Linked DNA regions of Tamandua tetradactyla. The protein of the gene in region 1 interacts with the protein of each later gene in a pairwise test. Links are inferred from orthologs where the notes say so. Each region holds a gene or a part of one and is shown in the gene's direction. Other genes may lie near its edges.

The links. The genes of interacting proteins can lie anywhere in the genome.
Region 2: the proteins of CDR2 (region 1) and SH2D4A interact in binary tests that used the Homo sapiens proteins (3 or more experiments, as listed by UniProt). The two-hybrid records come from large-scale screens. The link is inferred for Tamandua tetradactyla from reciprocal best matches to the Homo sapiens genes CDR2 and SH2D4A.

Annotation. Positions count from the first base shown.
Region 1 is NC_135349.1:34,857,884-34,869,089, forward strand, and holds the start of CDR2 (cerebellar degeneration-related protein 2), read left to right. Parts: upstream 1-6,182; 5' UTR 6,183-6,290; coding exon 6,291-6,372; intron 6,373-11,206.
Region 2 is NC_135329.1:19,293,935-19,302,909, reverse strand, and holds the start of SH2D4A (SH2 domain-containing protein 4A), read left to right. Parts: upstream 1-3,963; 5' UTR 3,964-4,114; intron 4,115-4,321; exon of another isoform or gene 4,322-4,429; intron 4,430-6,136; exon of another isoform or gene 6,137-6,249; intron 6,250-8,975. UniProt on the Homo sapiens protein: Inhibits estrogen-induced cell proliferation by competing with PLCG for binding to ESR1, blocking the effect of estrogen on PLCG and repressing estrogen-induced proliferation. May play a role in T-cell development and function.

The DNA of each region.
Region 1 (11,206 bases):
GCTCTGGAGTTCTAGAATTACCAAAAGGGGTTATTAAACCCATATGTAGACTAAGCACTGTCTGTAGAATGAATAAAGAACATTTTGCCTATATATGTATTAGCGTTCCGAATTAAGAAAATTTTGTAGATTCTGCTATAATGATAAAATACAAATTTGGGTTTTTTTTTTCATCATTATGCAGTTTTCATACAAGGGCTACTTGAAAAATGCAAGTACATTATGAGGAGGTCAGCCAACATTTTGGGCTTTAAAATGTAATTATTGGATTTGAAAAACTGGGAACTACTGGGAAAGCTCTCACTCTAAGGAGTTATTTTTAGCATAAATAAGAATAAAGATTGAGGATAGAGTTCATGGGTTTGCTAAGAGAGCCAGAAAACAGGGGAGTCAGTAGATCCAAAAGCAGACATACAAATTTAGCTCACCAAAATCTAGGTCCTCTTCTTTTTTCTTAGTTTTATTTCAGGCATCCTAAAACAAGAAGCATGCCACACCTTCTGAGCTTCCCTATCATTAAGTCAGGAGGTAGGTAACAGTATTTATAAACTCAGAATATGGCAAACAGTTATTCGCTCCCTGAGACAAGTTCAAATTTTTAAAAAAGAATATTGTGACAGCTGTATCATTATTCAATCATCCTCAAGAAACATGGCTACTGGAACACAGCTCTACATTTTCAGGCAGTTCCCTCCAGCCTCATACAGCTGTCACAATGTGACTGTGTGATTGTGAAAACCTTGTGTCTGATGCTCCTTTTATCTACCTTGTCAACAAAGGAGTAGAACATATGGAATAAAAATAAATAATAGGGGGAACAAATGTTAAAATAATTTAGTTTGAAATGCTAGTGATAAATGAAAGCGAGGGGTAAGGGGTATGGTATGTATAATCTTTTTTTTTCTGTTATCGTTTTATTTCTTTTTCTGTTGTCTTTTTATTTCTTTTTCTAAATCGATGCAAATGTTCTAAGAAATGATGAATATGCAACTATGTGATGACATTAAGAATTACTGATTATATATGTAGAATGGAATGATATGTTACTGTTCTTGTTTGTTAATTTTTTTAATTAATAAATATACATAAATAAATAAAAGAATACTAAGTTAAGCACCCATTCTACTGAAACATGCGAATATAAGGTATTTACAGCATTACAAAAGGCTCTATAATCTGAACTCCTCCTCTTAAATATAGTAGAAGAGGAAGTAAAATCTTCCTTATTTCCATTTGCAAAACAAAATATTTTGCTGTAGTTTACTATCATCATAGTAATACTTATTTCACTAAGTATCAGACTGAAACTCATCACTTAAAATTTTTTTTAAATCGACTACTACTATCTAAAAATTCGCCTTGCATGATATTACTATGGCAATAAGACACAAAAGAACAAGCACATTTTATCTTTACAACCAAGGACAAAGGACTTCTGGAGCTGGTTCTTCTTTACCACAAAATGTTTTATAAATAAAGAGCTTAAAAGTAATGAAAAGATGGAATGATCAGCCTGAGGGGATGCACTAAATGGGTGAATTATAAGATGAACACCTGAAACCCACATTTTAAAATCAACTTGGATTGTTATTCATTAACCTACCAATAAAACAAATACTGTTGCTAAAGAGGTTGCCTATGATTGTTTCCAAGCTATGACCAAGCAGATCCTAAGAGAATAACAGAGACCCCACCAAACCAGGGCTTTTAGCAATTGAAAATTAGGACATCTTTTCAACACAATTTGTGTTCCAGCCTTTCCAGGAAAAAAAAAAAATTCTTAAATAAAAAGAACCACTGACACCAAAAAGCATAAAGCCTGTTTTATTGTGTTGTTGCCATTTTAAACTATCAAAAACTTCAATTCTGCAGATAACTTATTTTTTGAAAGACAATTGTTAAAGAATGTTTGAATATACTTATCCCATTTGGAGTCAAAATGAGTTTCTATTTGCCATCAAGAAAATGAGCTTCTGTTTGCTATCACAAAAACAGCCAGTACTTGAGAGATCCCAAACAGAGTCAAGAGGTTATCCTTATGCATTATACAGATCTCACCTTTTTAGTTAAGGTGTAATGGAGAGGCTGGAGGGAACTGCCTGAAAATGTAGAGCTGTGTTCCAGTAGCCATGCTTTTTGAAGATGATTGTATAATGATATAGCTTTCGCAATGTGACTGTGTGATTGTGAAAACCTTGTGTCTGATACTTTTATTTACCTTATCGACAGATGAGTAAAATATATTAAAAATAAATAATAGGGGGAATAAATGTTAAAATAAATTTAGTAGATTGAAATGCTAGTGATCAATGAAAAGGAAGGGTAAGGGTATGCCTGAATTTTTTTATTTTCTTTTTATTTCTTTTTCTGATTTGATGCAAATGTTCTAAGAAATTATCATGATGCTGAATATACAACTATGTGATGATATTGTGAGTTATTGATTATATAACATGAATGGCATGATCATATGGTAAGAATGTTTGTGTTTGTATGTTAAATAAAAAAAAAAAAACAGCCAGCACTTTCAATCTTGCGAATCGGTGACTATGCAACCAAGAAATCAGGATTTAAGGGATGATTTTTATTACTGAATCACTATATAGAAATTCCTTTTTTGCTTTCTTGTACATTGGAGTAGAAAGAGGGAAATTCCTAAAATCTCTAAATTGTAATTCAGCTGCTTTGATCTCTGCTAATGATTGTATAGCCCTTATCTTCTGCCCTTGTTATTGTAAAAACCTCATGACTAACCTTCTTTTGTACCCAGTTTAACAGTTTTTCAACTTTAGAGTCTTGTAATCATTAAAGACAGCAGGTAATGTTTATTAATGAAGGGTCTTGAGTCAGCCCAGAACTCAACACACCCCATATCTGAAGTTATCTTGTTAAGAGAGACTGGGATCTAACCAAAGTGGGCTTGGCCTACCTGACATGCACAGAAGCTTACACTTGAACCGACAAGTCACCTACACCTCATTCCACCATTTTCTTACATACATTCTGTGACTAAGCATGTAATCAACCTGCACATGCTCAATACTTAAATTACCTCTACAACATCTGGGGCCACTGTGCTTATTATCCTAAACCCTGCCCATCTTTCCTCTAACTACCTGAATTACTGCAGTTTGGGGAGACAGATTTTGGGCCGCTAGGCCATCTGCTCTCCTACTACTTGCCTAGTAATAAACTCTTCCTCTCTTTGAAATACCCAATGTCTCAGGAATTGGTTATTGAGTGTGGGGGCAGAAGAATTCACAGCCTTTGTCCGGTAACAACTATGGAAGATGGATGAGTCTCTTGAAGGTCAAATGCATGAATCTGGCCCTTCAATTTCCACAAAACACCATCAGCAAATCCTAAACCCAATCATCCCTCTTTCCAAAGGGCTCTATCTATAGTAATTTATTTTATTTTATGTATTTATTTATTTATTTTGCATGGGCAGGCATCAGGCATCAAACCCGGGTCTCCAGCACGGCAGACAAGACCTCTGCCTGCTGAGCCACCGTGGCCAGCCCAGTAATTTATTTTTAAGTTAACAAAGTTGGTTTAAATGATTTTCTTTTGTTTTTCTTTTTCTGGACTAATATCTGCACCTGAATATGGACAGCTAGGACAGTAGAGATTTTACAAGGGTCCTAACTTTTTTCTTCTTTGTAACCTAGCAATAAAAAGTAGATCAGAAAAACAAAAGTAGATCAGTAACATTTTGCCTTTTAGTATACCTGGATTCAAAAGAAAGTGATTTATGATTTCTCATTCCCCTTTCATTATTATTATCACTATTATTATTATTATTATTATTATTACCTTCTAACACCATTACAAGTAAGAGTGAAACCATGCGTGAACAAAAATCGGTTCATGGGGATATTCTCTGTTCCTGTAACCTTTTCTTTTGAGTTTGCTTAACGGCAGGTCATATAACCTAAGCATGCGTAGAAAACAGATTTTTGTCCTTTATATGGACTTTGAGACACCAGGAACAAATGCCACCTCCCTTGGAACCAAGATTACAAGAACAAGGAGACATTGAAAGCAAATCAAATGCCAAATGGAGCCTAAAATCCACTCTACCACACATGGACAACTCTATGATTAACCAATTGCACTGGGCCAAGTCAAACCTCTCCACTTCTGTCTATACTTTTCACCCCCCATTCCCACAAAATGTCCCTTAACTCTCAGATCAAGGAGACAGATTTGAGCCTTGCCTCCTGGCCAATCAACCTCACAATAAAACTCTCTTTTCTGAAAATCAAGAAATCATAGTATTGTCCTCTGTGGATACTGGGTGGGGAGCCTTTGCTCATTCATTCACTCATTCATTTATATCAGTATGGATTCATAGATTTTTCCTTTTATTCATTTGGTTATAATCCATTAATAATATTATTTTGATGCTCATAGTTGTCCCCAAAATATCAGTAACAGCAGCGTATGTTTAAAAAAGGCATGAATGCTTTCTCATACTTTCTCTCTTTGATTCTGTGAGGAAGGTAGAGAGATATCTCTCCTATAAACCTAAAGAAGTTAAAGGCTTTTGTGCTGGTAGAACTGAGGCTACAACTGCAGGTCTTGTGAATACACTGTGCTTTCCACTTTATATTAAGCAGTCTTCTTTAATGATGAAAGGATAAAATTTTTGGTAACTGGGAAAGTTTCCTTGTCCTTGGCAAGAGTAGTAGCTTACAGGCTATTCATAAAGCAACCCTGGAGTCAAGCTGTGAAGACCCTACAGCATCAGCATGAGATTTCACCAATTTGAGCAAGAAAGGGGAGGGGAAGGGACACTACATTTTTTAAAACCTACACGAATATTTAGGGTGGATTTTCCCCCCTCCTGTAAATTACTCATCTTTATTCCTTTATACAGAACAATAGTAATTTGAGGATCTGTAACTCCCTCCCTACAATTTCCTTTATTTTTTATCACAGTAATGTTTGCACCAAGTGTGCATGTGCATGTGCCACACAAAATCACAGAGAAACTTATAATAAAAAGCAAAGTCTCCCCTCAGGCAAACTATGAACGGTTTTCCATTTTAGTTTTAGCAGTTATCTTCACATCGTTGAAAACTATTTATTATATTTTCAATTTAAGGTATTGTCTATGGATTCAGGATTTAATTTGCTAACACTACTCCTTCTCTTCCCTCTCACCTAATTTCTGATCGTTGTTCCCTTAAATTTTTCAAGAATAATCCTTCATATAAAGTAAAACCTCTTTGTTCCATAAACGTTAGAAAGTATCGGTGGAGTCCCCTCCTGTCACATACAGATATTAGCAATGCTGTCTTCCCCTCCTTCTAGCAGCTGTACCTTGACTTTTACATCAAAGCTCATAATCCATTCTTAAATGGGTGTGAAACCCACACCCTTGGGCGGGCGTGAGGAAAATTCCCAGAGGTTTGGGAATAAGAACAGACGTCAAGGAGAAGAAGCTAACAGTCAGAGGGTGTCTTCCTCAGCCCCAAACTCTCGGCAGACCCTTAGTTTTCCCGCCGCGACGAGAGCAAACCCAGGAGTCGACAGACAACCGGCGGCCAGGCAGGGAAACGCGGGCTCCCGGCACCCCTCGCGCCTCCCGACCGCACTAAGGAGGCCCCACGACCACCTCCACTCCTCAGAGGCCGGAGTTCTTGCCCCTCACGTCCACGAAGCCTGCCCGGCCACCCTCCGGCCGTCGCGTCCACTGACTGACTGATGGGCGGGTAGCCGGTCCACCCACCGCAGGCCGCCTAGACAACCCAGGACCCCGAACGCACACCCAGAAAATTGCCCCGGAGCTGAGCGGGGGGCGAGGTCTCTCAGCCGCACCCCTTCGTTCATCTGCCCGCCTTCTTTGTTTCTCCCGAAGACGCCATTGGCTGCCGCTCTCGAGACCGGGCGAGGCGCGGGCAACCGGCGAGACGCGATTGGACGATATCGCCGCCGTTCGGCCGGCGGCTCGCTCGCGATTGGCCAAGACGCCGCCCGGGTTTGAATCACAGTCCCGGTCGGGGAGGGTTCTGCCAAAGTGCCACGTTGGGCCCGGCGGCGGCGTCGCGAGCCGGCTTGAGACGCCGGCCGAGGCGCCGGCCGTTGGAACCTTTGGGCGGCGCGAGGCTGGCCAGGAAGCCGGGCGACGGGCGGCTCTCGCTGAGCCTGGGCGGCGGACGGCGGGCGGGTCCCGCCCCGGGACGGCTCTGGCTGAGGGCGGCGGGGCCGGGAGCGAGCCCGGGGCAGCGGCTGAGGCGGGACAGCGGCGGTTGGGGCCGCTGCCCCCGGAGGGCCCGGCCGAGATGCTGGCGGAAAACCTGGTGGAGGAGGAGTTCGAGCTGAAGGAGGACGAGCCATGGTACGATCACCAGGACCTCCAGCAAGGTGAGGGCGGGGGACACGGCAGCGGGGAGGCTCTGGGCTGCTGAACTGTGTTGAAAAAGTTGCTCTCGCCCCGGGCCGCCGCCCTTTGCAGGCGCTGCCGTGCCCGCCCCGGGTGTCGGCGCAGGAATAATAACGCGCCTGGAGAACGTTGTCGAGGGCTAACTGTGTGCGGGGCGCTGCTCTCAGCGCTTTAAGACGCTTAGGTTATTCACCCTTTAAGCCACAGTGAGTGGCCGCCCCGTGACGGCTCCTGCGCACACGGCGCCCCTGGGCTGTAACGGGGCTCGCGGCGGCTGGAGCGGAGCCCTGTGGGTGCCAGTAGCATCCCTGCGCGGTGGGAAGGGCGCAGGCCCCTAACGAACCTGCCCTCCTCTTATCTGCACCCACCCACCGGGAGGAACTTTGGTCATCCCCATTTTCCCGGAGAGGAAAGACTGTAGTCCGTAGACTCCCAGAACGAGGAGCCAGCCAGTCACTGCCCAAACCCTTGTCCGTTCCTTATCCACCCGGTTTACGGGTTTTTTTCTATTGGGTGTTAACCCATTTTCTTTTGTTTTAAATTGTTAATGCACAGTCCACCAGATGCCGGATGAACTGACTGGAGGGCACTTCTGCCTCACCCTCCTCCGTCAATTTGCACTTCCACCTTTCGGTTAAAAGCCTGCCTTCCTGGCTTGGCCTGCCTGTAGAGTTCTTGCTGACCGTCCTTCCAGAGAAGGACCTTCGAGTGGCCTTCACTTTGAAGCCAGTGGTCCTTTTTTGGCATATTGCCAACTGGAGCTAGCAATAGGGATACTTGAGTATGTGCCAGACGCTGGCAGGTCCTTAACACAGATGCTCATTTAATCCTCACAACAGCACTTTGGAGGTGGAGGCGACTGTTTTGGGGTGCTAGGATTCCAATTCAATCTCCAGAGCAAGCGCATGATACTGAGCGCTAAATAATCCTCAGGAATTTTTTTTCAGGCTTCTGTTTCTGCGAATCTGTATAAATCCATTTTTTTCAGCTCCAAACTTGCAGTGAAAATGAAACATCTCATTTAGTTGAACATTAAATGATCGTGATATCTGTACATGCTGAGCGATGAACTCGGTAGGGGAGACCACAGGGAACGTAAACTTGAGTAACTCAACTTAGGAGAAGGAAATAAAATGTGTGCCTGCTTTGGGAAGGTGATTTCTAAAATCATTATGCTGGGAGCTGTACATACCAGTATTTGCGCTCACGTTCTCTATGTCCACAAGACACATTTGTCTTAAGTTTTAACAAACCTGTTTTCTGATTTTCCCATAAGAATTGATGGCCTAGTTTGATTCTTTCTCCAGGGTTAATTGCAACCATTGTGCAATTGCACCATTTCCTTTGAATATATTAAGGAGTTCGTATAATCAACGCAGAATGTTTTTCTTTCTAGTATATAAGATGCATAAATCCGCAAGGGCATTAAGGGCAGGGACCAGATGGCCCTCATTTTTTTGAATCCCCAGCATCTACTACAACACACAGCACATAATAGAAGCTCGATTAATGTTTCTTGAACCAAACTGAAGCACTCCCACAGGATTACTGGTTTCATGGCTTTCTTCCATCAGGGGCCTAAATCGCACTGCACTTTCCCCCCTGCGGTTGTTAAAAATAACCCATTGTAATTTTTCAATCTACTGAGAAGCAAATGCAGCCTGATAGGGTTACCGTTAGAGTTTTCTAACTGCTTTGATCAAACCAGAGCTGTCAGATCTTCAGGTTTAAACAGAACCTTAAAGGACACTGTTTTGAACCTGTTTGATGCCAGTTTGTATTTGGGGGTTCTTCTGTTCTTTTCAAAGGGTTCTTACATTTATTATCAAAATGGATTTTGACATAACTCAGTAAAGTGTGAGGAGTAGGAATAGAAGATAGGAAATTCCAACAATCATAACTTGGGAAAATGACCTATAAAACACAGCTGCAGGATGCATAAAAGGTTATCTTTGCCCCGATTTTTTAAAATTATATGTTAACTAACTTCTAAACTTGTAAAGCATTTTAAAATTTGTTCGTTTCACAGATATTTATTATCTACTCTGTACCAGGTAGTTATGTGGGCACTGGGGCCACAGCTGAAGACAGGTTATGATAGATGACATTCAAACTCAGTTGAGTGCACAGGTAGTTCAGTAGTAGAATTCTTGCCCACCCTGTGAGAGAAGTAGGTTCGATTCTGGCCCATGCGGTGGAAATACCACCAGCATCATGGAATGTTCCCACTATGGCACCTGGCCTACAGTAGCTCTTTATAGATACTTTCTGCTGAATGAAGTCTGTAAACAGGTCTGTCCTTTAAGCAAGTTGATTAAGCAGGTGTAGTGGGGATTTATCCTGTGTCAACAGCTGTATGATTTTTAAAATATCCTCACTATCAGTTTTGCTATACTAGGCTGTTTGGAGAGCAGTGAGTCAAACAGCTTTCTAAGATCCTGTTCAAAATGTCTTAGAACTACAAAATACTTTTTTTCTTTTAACGATATAAGCCATTTTTTAAGTAGATTGAGTCTGCATCGAAGTTTGTTGGGGCAGTCATTTCAAAATTAAAATTGCTGAAAAATTCCTGTTAGAAACGTGAAGCTGTGTGTAGGCAGGAGGAGAAAACCTTTGCTTTTAGAAAACACTTTGATGAAGACTATCTTTTGTCAGAGGCCTGAGTTGGCACAGTAAGAATACTGACAATAATCTCTATGCGTAAGGTCCTTTCTGGGACAGCAGGAGCTTTCTGTGCAGGTAATGATGGTACATGCTTTGAAATGTGTCCCTGCAAACAAGGTGGAAAGACTTCAGAGGCTGGATTTTCTTTCCAACTAGCTGCTATATAATCATTGTTTCATGAACTGTGGAAGTTTAGAGTAAGAATTGAGATTTCTCCTGTATGGACTGGGTAAATGAAATCTTAGTTTAAAGGAATCCTAAGATTTCTGTTTCTTTTTTTTAATGAGTACGTCTTTCTTGTGTGCAGCTTCTTTGCTGGATCACTGTTTGATGGGTCATTAAAACTGACACCATTTTTCTTCATGTTTATATTCACGTTTGTTGCCTTCCCAATTATAGTAACATTGGCAACGGGAATACAGGAGCATCATCAAATGACGCGTTTGACTTTGTAATAGGAAAAGCTTTCAGTCTTAATGTTAATGAATTACTGCTACAGACTATAGCTACTGTGTAAATAGATTGTCCTTGTATTTTTTGATGAAATTGAAGTAAAATGAGAAGAATATAGCAGTAAGATTTAAAGTTTCAAAATTCTGGAAGAAAGGTCCTGTTAAAAAAATCATTCTTGCTATTATGTAATTTTTTGCTTAAGGCATAGGACTAAATTGAGTATCCGTGTAAAGCCCCCAGTCTCACACTATTAAAAGAGAATATTATCATTTGCAAAGACTGTTGAATATTAAACCTATGATGGTACTGATATGTAATAATTTCCAAACCTACAGTAAATGTATGTCTCTGGCTGCCTAAGGCAGTTCAATGTGGTTTAAAAGAGCAGCTTCTTATTGTAGAATAGAGAAATGCACAGGGCTTCAAAACAAGATTGTTTCCTTTTCTTTGTTGCCTTAATCAAAAATATAAAGGACATTCAATATTCTCCCATTCCCTCCCCTAATTATTTAGAAAACCTTCTTGGGCTTAGTGCCAGCTTTTGGCTCATTTTAGTTACGGAAGCCAGATGCTACACAACAGGAAAAGAACTTTTTTAGAAGACCCTTGTCTTTAAACTAACAGATGAAGTAATATCCTATTATACAGTGTGACTTCACGGGTGCTTTCTTGTAGTTGAGACTTATCTTGCTAAAACTCTATCCTTAACATCCTATAAAATATTCAGGAGACTATGAGACTTCAGATTACTGAGCCAGGTTGAGGCTGTAACTGGAAATAAGGATTGAGATAAGGATAAGTCTAATTCTTTTTTGTTTGCTGTTTACTGAAAGAGCACTGTTCTTGGCATTTCTGCAGCGCCAGGAGCAGGAAAGATGTTACTGGCTGCATATTAAGTACAATAGATAGTTTCATAACTGAATGAAAGTGGTTAATGATGGTCTCAAGTTACCCTTGGTTCTGGAAGAAGTTTCGACTCAGGGTTTGATTGCTAGGTAAGAACATTTTGGTAAGTACCTGGTTCTTCCCAGTGGGGAGTTACTCACCACTTTACAACAGGCCAGAACGGATTACATCCAGGGAATGTTTTTATGCTTTGCATAAAACATACAGTGTGGTGGTGGCGTCTATGTGGATCTGTATGTACATATTATACACTCTGGGTATAGAATAATTGTTTCTGGACCGTCTTCAGCAATGCATACATACATAGTTCCTTCTTAACTTGGTGAAAAGAAGATAATAACTTGCCTGGGGTTATATAGCTGGAAGTAAAAACCCAGATCTCTCAATTGTAGTTTTTCATCACTATTTATGAAAACAAGAAGAAACGATTAAGTATCTCAGTTTGAGAAGTTTGTACTTTTAACCTTAAAGTGTGTGGGTGTCTTAAACTACTTATAACTATGTGAATGGGATAGATGATTGTAAAAATTAGAACCTGACAACTGAGTAGTTTCTGATTTACCTATCATACACCATGAAGATCTGTCAGGTCAGTTAACATCTTGTATTCATGTGACATAGAACTTTTATACACAGCTCAGAGCATTCATCTTTCCATCTTCACAAGGTCCACAGCCTGATTTTTCAGAAGAGACAAGCCAAAGCACAAAGATGTAATTTCAAACTTATCTGAAGTCTTATTATATGCCAGTAATAAACATTGTTAATATTTAAATCACAGGAGAATGTGTT
Region 2 (8,975 bases), on another chromosome or scaffold:
ATCAGTTTTTAGTAAAGTTTAAATGCTTTCATTCTTTTCCTTTCATATCCACCTCACACTCACTGCGGAACAAGCATTTAACTTACTTCCTTGAGTTAAGACTTTAAAAAGTGGGATTTCTGACCTTGACAGCAAAAATGATATTGGTGCATATCCTATTTTCCTTTATAAAGGATAAATGTGAAGAGAACCTTCATTTTCAGTAGAACTTAAACCCAAATTGACCTTTAATTTATAAGAGCTGAAGAGCTGCTTCTCTAATCTTTCTGGCAGCATCAGAGCTGCTGTTTTGTACAACTCCAGGGGGTGCCTCACATATCAGAGTCTCTACGTGTGGTCCCTCTAGTGACCCAGTGCCGGACAAGACAGCCCTGGGCGGCATGGTTCCCAAACAACATTCTAAAAGGAACGCCCAGAAACATGACAACTAAAATTTGTCATGGTGTCCATTACTACAGGTAATTGACAAAAAATATTTAGTGTATAGTAAACAATATTTTTAGCTTTTCTCTTTGAGCACCAGTAGTAGATAGAGGAAGTACTCCCACACACTTGTGTGGTGACACCCATCTATACATCTCTGCACTGCCAGTACTGCCCAGTCTTCAGGAGAGGCTCAGTGCCTGTCCCCTGCCCAGGCCCTGGGTGCCCAGACCCCACACGGTATGAGTGTGGCTGGCACGTGAACCCCTCATCCTTCCCCACTCCTGTGACTTTGCATCCAAGATCATTGGGTGGGGAACTGTTTTCTCCAGAGAGCCACTAGTCCAAAGTGAGTGGAAAAGTAACTAACAGCCACACCAGGAAATAAAAAGGCAATTCGCTTTCTTTTGGAGTAATATAAAACAACCTTATTGCCTGCTTTTGGAATTATATTTTAAAGTATTTTTTGATTCCAGATTATGTCAATTAAAAGAGGGAATACTAGGAGATGGCAGAGGAGACTGGGAAACAAAGTAAAGATGATGGAAAAAAAATATGGACATAAAAGACGAGGAAAGAGTTAAATATAGGAAAGGCACATAACATGGATGAAAAGGGGACAATGAGAGAAAAGGAACAAGAGACTAGGCTCCAAATGATTGCTCTGTTTCTGTACAGTCTGCATTCATTAACACACAGTTATATGCACAGCAATCATTCATTGAACACCTACTCTGTGCTTGGGCATGGGTAGATTCAAACTTCCATAGGACATGGTCCCTGCCATCAAGAGGTTTGATTTCAAAGGGCATAAAGCATACACATAGCTAACTTTGCATGACAGCGCTGCATTGCAGATGGAGCAGGGACCCTGCCTGTCTACTTTTCTAGATCCCAGTCACAACAGAGCCTGGTACCCAGTAGGTGTTCACTAAATGTTTCTTGGATGTATGAAATGCTAAACTATGATACAAGTGTTATAACCCTATGGGAGAGGGAAGGACCATTTCGGGCTGGATTTGGGATAGTCAGGAAAGATTTCCTAAAAATTAGAGTTTGAAGGGCAGGTGGAGTTTTCATAAGCAAAGTTGTGAGGCAAGACATTTTAGACAGAGGGCACAGTGTGAAGCTGTGGGATCTGTGTAGGTTTAGGGTCTGGAAAATGCCAGGTTATCTGAATGTAGGGTTTATATTAGGAAGGCGATAAAGCTTAGGGAGATTAATGTCAGATTGTCTTGGTGCTTCAAAGTTTGTAAGCAGTTTAATTTTAATTCTTTGGGAAAGAGATGGATCAGAGTTAACATTTGAAAAGGTTGATTTGATAACTGCATTCACAAATTTCTGACCTGAAGAACCTAAAGCACAGTTCCTGAATGCATAATCTGCCGCTCCATTTTAAGCCCAACCACCCAGAGTGCTGCTCAGAATGCAGATGTTGGGGCCCCACAAATGTATATTTCCTAGGTCTTGAGGTCCAGGATCTGCATTTAAATAAGCTGCCCACATAATTTTTCCTGTACACTAAAGCTAGGTAAAACTGGCTTAGAAACTAGAGGTGTATTAGTTATCTATGCTGTGTAACAAATTATCCCAAACTTAGCGTCATAATACAATAAATAATTATCTGAAAAAAAATTATCTCACAGCTTGTAGGTCAAGAATTGGACAGTGGATTGTTAAGTGGTTCGAGCTCAGGGTCTCTCATGAATTTGCAATCAAGCCGTGAGCTGATGCTACAGTCACCTGAAAGCTGGACTGGGACTGCAAGAGCCTCTTCCAAAGGCTGTAGGCAGGAGTCTTCAGTCCCTCTCCACGTGGACCTCCCCAGAGGGTTGTTCATGAGATGGCAGCTGGCTTCCCACAGAGCAATGCTGAGAGAGTCATTTATAATCTATGTCAGAAGTGACATATCATCACTTCTGCCATGTTCTATTGCTCACCACAGACCAACGCTGGTACAATGTGGGCAGAAACTATAGGAGGTAGAGATCTTCTGGCTAATTTGGAGCCTGGCTACCAAAAGAGGCAAAACCCATAGCCTAAGTGTGAGGCGATAGGAACTTGAAATTATACTATGTAGTACGGAATAAAATGAATTACATGTATTATTTCAATTAATGCTCATAACAACTCAATGAGAAAAGTACTGCAATTATTCAATGGGGAAATCGAGGCACAGATTTGTTATGACAAAGGGAGTTATTACACAGATGGACTTCTCTGGATGCCTAGGGAGATTAATGTGTGGAGGAAGGGAATTGGCTGTTACCGATGTCCTATGGAATTTATCCTGGCTAATGAAGTCCGTTAACCGTTCAATACATCAAGTTTTAGGATTTATTTTCAGACGGCCACAACAGCTAACCAGGGGCAACTCACATTTCAACCTAAAGCACTCCACAGGTCATTCATTTAATAAGCAATGGGAACCAGATCTTAGACCAGAAATTCTCCCCAGACAGGATCCCTGGAATGGCCTGTTAAATAGTTGGGTCCTGTTTGCTGACTTTACCCAGGATTTGATCTCTGCCCCAAGCTCTTCTAACTTCTGCAGTCTGGAGAGGCTGGGAATTAGAAAGTTATTTTTAAATCCTGCAAATCTGGCTCATGAATATATCTGGTAGGCTGTGTAGACCAGCACCTGAGAACACTCCCTGTTTATTACATCTCTTCCCAGCACAGAGGCAAGCTGAGGTTCGTCAAAGCAGGCTGTTTTCTCCACACATTTTGAATGCTGCTCTACAATGGAAAATGCCTTCCAAACTTTCCATTCTGCTTTTGCTGAACTTTCCTCCGAGGTTTCCTCTTTTGTAGTCAGTCAGCACCTCCCTAATATTCTCATGAGCCACCCTAACCTGTTCTTGCTGAGAGTCAAAAGACTTCATGACCTTCTTTCTTTTCTCCAGTTTTGTTTCATTTCAACTCCCTTTGTCTTTTTTCAGCGTTCCTCCTTTTGCTTTGTCCTCCTTGAGCTTTTCCTACTCAACCACACCTATAATTACAAGTGCCCAAGAGTTTGATCACTTACTTAATGTCAACAACAACACAAGTAAGTTCCGGAGCTGCGGGAGCAGAATGCAAGAGGGTGAGCCGACTGGGCCGGTGGGACCGGGCCAGCGTACCTGAAGCCTCCAACCCCCCCCCACCCCCAACTTGCCAAAACTGCGTTCTGCAGTGGCCAGACCTGCCAACATTAATAAGTTCCGAAGGACCCAGAGAGATGCAAGACGTCACAGACTGCAGATGTCATTCCCCAATTAACTAAGAGTGGAGAGTGGAGAGTGGAGGGGGAGGTGGCCCTGTCGCCCGCCATCCCTCGCCCCGCCCCCCGGCCCCGCTCCCAAGGACCAAAGAACCTCGGGGTCAGCGCGCCGGACAAGCCGGCCTGAGATGCAGCGGGCAGCCAAGCCTGCCCGGCACTGGTGCCTCTCCAGGCGCCCGGGTGGGGCCGCGAGCGCCCAGTCAGGCCCCGGGCATGCGGGCCGCGGGTGGGGCGGGGCGGGCGGGCGGGTCAGGGCTGAGGGACGCCGTTTGCCAACAAGTTGGCCTGAGTGTTTGTCCAGCCAGTCTGTGCCGCTCGCAGGCGCCTCAGCCTCCTTCTCCCTTGCTTCCCCAACAATTTCTGGCGGCCCAACTGGACCGGGCTGGTGCTCGGGTCACCCAGCCCAGGCAAGCTCCGGGCTCTAAACAGGTAAAGGCTGGGGTGGGGTTAAGAGAAGGGTGTGTGGGGCTGGGTGGGGGTGTCCCCCGGGGGGAAGAGTGGTAGGTGCAGGGGACTGCAGGGAGGCGGGGCGGCAGAGGGAGGGCCGGCCTGGCGAGGCCTCGGTCCCGGGCGCCGCGCGCCCCTCCCCTTGCCCAGCTCCCCCTTCCCCTCCCCCGCTCCCGCCCCGTCCCGCCCCGTCCCGCCCCGGGCAGGCTCAGGTGTGGGGTTGAGCCGGGCGAGCGCGGCCGCGACGGGCTACCGGTGTCCGATGTCGGGTGTCCGATGTCTGGAGCAGGCGGCTGGGTGAGCGGCGCCCCGGAGGCCCGGGGACTTGTGGTCCTGGGGAGCAGCTGGAGAGGGAGGCCTTCGGGGGAAGCTCTGGGGATCCCCGCGGGGATATGCGCGCCCGCGGAGTTGGGGCGGCCTTGGGGTTGGCTGCGTAGGAGGGTCTTGTGCTCTGCAGCTTCCAGGCACACTTCTGGGGCGTCAGCCGGGCCTCCGCCACCTCCGCCAGCCCCTGCGCGCTCCGGGACGCCCGCGCGCTTCAGCCCGCCGACTTGGCGGCGCCCACCCCCACGGCCGTGCGGGCCAGTCGCACCCGCATCCTCCGTGTGGGTAGTACCGGGTGGACTTCCTTCCCAAGGAGCTGTTCTAGAAAAGTCCCGGGGAGGCGGTTTTAGCCCGCGCCGCACCCCCGCTGTGGCCTCCCCGCGCGCCCGCACGCAGGTGCGCCTCCACGTGGGGTGGGGCGAGACGCGCCCCGGCGCTGCGGGTCCCCGCGGCCGCCGCCCTCGGGTCGCGGAGCTCAGCCGGACCGCGCGGGAGGCAGACCCAGGCTGTGGCCCCGGTGTACTCCACGGTGACCTTCCTCACCTAAGTGGGCACCCTGCCCGCAGGACTCACGCGGGCGCCGGAATGGGGGTGGGAGACGCAATGAGCAGTCAGAATCTGTAAGTTAGCTCAGGGTTGTCTGTCCCTGCCAGGAGAAGAAGCAAGCGCTGCGCCTCTTTCCAAACTGAGATTCTCTTCATCTCACAAAAGGCTTTTATTTGATTTAGGAGAAACAACGGCTTGTTTAACAGAAACAACGACTTGGACGAATATGATCATTTGTAAAAAGTGAATAAAAAATGAAAGATATAATGTGGGCACTGATTTGGCATGACTGGAATTCGTTCCATAAATCTTGTGTTACAGTAAATTTAAATTTCTGAAGAATGGTGAATGTTTATAAAACAACTTACCAAATTACTGTCACCTCTGGTAATTAGTTTTGTTCTCAGAATGAGTCCTTTCGCAGGATAGAGAAGTGACGATTGTCTTCAAAGAATTAGAGTTCAAAACTATATTCTTAACATGAAAGTTTTACTGTCCATGTCACAGTATTTATTTGAAGTACCTCGGTCCCTTTGGGTGGGGGGAGCTCAGTTATTAAAATTAAAAAAAATTAAAGAACAGTGGCTGTGGAAGGGGGGGCATTGTGGAGAACTAAAAGGATCCTGTGTCTCCTTAGAAGTTGGTTTTGGGGATAAATTGCAGGGTTGGATTTGCTGCTTATTCTTTTTCTTGAGCAAAATGCTATACCAGAAGAAAACCAAGTTAATTAACTAAACTTTAAATGTTTTGGATCTTGACTAGCTGGAAGTTGCTGCACTAAATGTCTTAGGGATTAGATAACTTTGGTTAAATAACTTTGAATCAGTATCAGCAATGATTGTTGTGGGGAGTGAAAGTAGGAAAACCCCTGCTGAGTTAATTTCCTCATTTCCATTTTCTCTACCCTGGCTCCACTTGTCTCCATAGCTTCAAACTATATTATATCACGGAGTCTACAAATTGTGTAGGTCCACAGCATGAACTGGCTGTCATTTCACAGATGAGAAAACCGAGGCCCCCGGAAATGAAGCGTGGGCTCAGTCACACCGTTCATTAGAGGCGGAGCCGGGTCCCAGGCCCTTGCTTGTTGTCCTTATCAGCACACTGTGCCCTGGTTATTTTCCTTCCGGGCAGCATGAACACCTGGGGGAGAAAGCGTGAATCTCTACAGGTGAACCAGCAGCAGCAGAGGCATGCAATACCGTTCAGCAGCCTGAAGCCACATATTTGATCAGCTGCGTCCCCAGGTATTCTCTGAGGACCTGATAAAACCAGTGTCTTTCCTTTAAGATCTGCTGGTTAACTTCAATGCCAGAAGTGCGTGCTTGGTACAGAGCTTCGTAAAAAAGCTTGAGCCTTTCATCACAGCAGTGGGGTAGGACCCATCCCATGCGTGAGACGCCTACTGTGTGCTGCCCTTGACGGCGTGTGGGATGGGGAAATGCGGAAATTCTCTGTGCCTGTGACAAAGCTGGCAGATGGTATGCACGCCTGGGCCAGCATGACAGTTCCTGTCCTTTCTGGGGAAGGGTGATTTCAATACTGGCTACCTCTGCAAGCGTATGTATGACCTGTCACGATGAGGCTTTGCGCTCTGAGTCCTGTGCCTTCATTCAGTTTAGCATTTCTATTGCTGCAGGAGTTTCTGGTCTTTGTTCTGAAATTCAGACGTGCTGCCCCGTGGTGAGGTTTTGATTCGGGGCTCACAAACTCACAAAGAGGCCTCTGTGTCGTAGAGTACACTAGAGCAGACTCTCCGCTTTCCAGCCTCTGTGCCCCATCTCCTTCTGTGAAATGGAGGGATTGATGGACCTGACTCTAAGGGTTATTGTGAAGATTAAATGAGTTGATGCATGAAAAGTGCTTAAGACAGTACCTGTCCAGGTAAATGTGAGCTCTTACTGGTCTTAGGGGACAGGAGGGAGAATGTGGATTTGGCACTTCGAGGCTTTTCATTTTTAGTCTTGACCCACCCCGTCACTGTTGCTATATATTTGCCCCATTCAAAATGGGGAACAAACTTGAAACCTCAGGCCTCACTGAACTGCTCCTTTTCTGCCATGTTTGCCGTGTGAGTCCATCATTAGTCACAGTGTGCCAACATAAGGACGTTTACTGGAATGCCAAGGACGCAATGACTTAGGTTTCTTACCACTTCATCTCAGAGCAGTGGAGTCGGATGTGCTGAGGAACCACGTGGGCTCTAGACAATAGCCTGGCCTCTTGAAGCTTCTCCTTCATGTAGGTTATATTGGCCCCACCTCTTGAGAAACTGTTAGAAACAAAAAGAGAAGCAAGCATCACACCTCACTGCAATGTGGCTGCTACCTTAAAGCACAATACAGAGTTAGCCAGGAAGCATGGGAAGTGGGGAGCCTTTCAGAGCTAGAGTCAGTGACATGCTTTTAATTATTTGTAAGTTTTCTCTTAATATTTGGTTCCGCTCCAGTTCCTGTGGTTGAACACTGTGGGAGATTATAGGTTTTGGAGTTTGTGAGAATAGTTTTAGCCACAATAAAGGCCCCTACCACCCAATGAGTAGTTGGTGAATTTATATGCTGTGTTTGCAAAGCATTTTGTGGGACCCAGGCTGTCTGGGCATGCATGTCTAAAGAGGCTGGGTGTATGCTGAGAAACAACTTTGCAAAGGAAGAGGAGGGATGGGGGAAGCTGGGGGGATGCCTGGATGGTGAAGGGAGCATTACAGACCTAGCTTAACAATGCTAAAGTGAAAGAAGTAAGAGCAGCCAAGACTATTGTGGCCATGGTGTGACTAGTCTGAAATTTGAGCGTTTGAACTGAGTGTGGAGAAACTAGATATATGAGAGGGGCATGCTAGAGGGTGAGATTATTGAGGCATCGTAGGCACCAGATTATTAGTCAACTTCTTCCAACATTGGTGTTGGAAGAAAAGATACAGAGTATGTTTTTTTTTAAATATCTTACTGTATTTGAAGCAAATTCAGAGTATTTTTTTTCAAATTGGAAATGTGTATCTAATTTCTTTCTTAATACAAAAATATGCAGGTTTGCTATTTAAAAAACCAACCAAATTGAAATGTATAAATGCAGATGAAATATCCATGGAAATGACACCCCTGGACACAACTGTTAAATCATTTGTGCATATGCAAGTTCATAGCTTATTATTATTATTGTTATTATTTTGCATGGGCAGGCGCCGGGAATCAAATCCGGGTTTCTGACATGGCAGGTGAGAACTCTGCCTGTTGAGCCACTGTGGCCCACCCTGTGGCTTATTTTTAAAGGAGCCCTCTAATAATTTCTTTTTAAAGCATGACACTTTTATAATGGACCTGGTCACTTCTTTGTTCCCTCAGTTCATCTGTTGCGTAAGTTTGGATTTTATTAAATTAGGTTATCTGGAAGAGGTAGGCCTAACACCTGGTGACCTTCCAGAACGTGGGTGAATGTTCTCGCCGGCAGCCACACTGTTTACATGGTCCTAGCAGGTTGACTGGAAATTACACGGTCCTTTTGTGAAGATGAAAGTATGTACTTGTGTTTAAGTGCTGCTTTTAAGGAGAAAATGCAAAAATGGTGGTTGCAGCTTAATTTTTATTTCTTCTCTCTTTCTCAAGCAGGGCTTTGATTTGGTTTGCTTTGGGATGGATAGCTCTCTGAAATCTCAGAAATAATAGCTTCTTTTGAATCGTGTTTGGAGAGAGCCTTAGAATTTCTTCTTCTGACCTCTTTTTTTTTCTTTCCCCCAGCCATATAGTTGTGGTTTGTTAGGCTCTGACGTAATATGTTTGCTTAGTTGGGAGAAGGCCAAATGCTGTTAATTTTTTTTTGCTTGTTTCCCCGAGATTGACCTGTATAAATTTAGGGTTTGTTTTGTTTCTATGATAAACTATCTTTGGAAATTACAGGACAGAGGTTACACAAACTCTTATCAAAGCGTACCTCAGCTTTTCCTCCTCTCTTTCCCCCTGAAATGAAAAAGTGAACT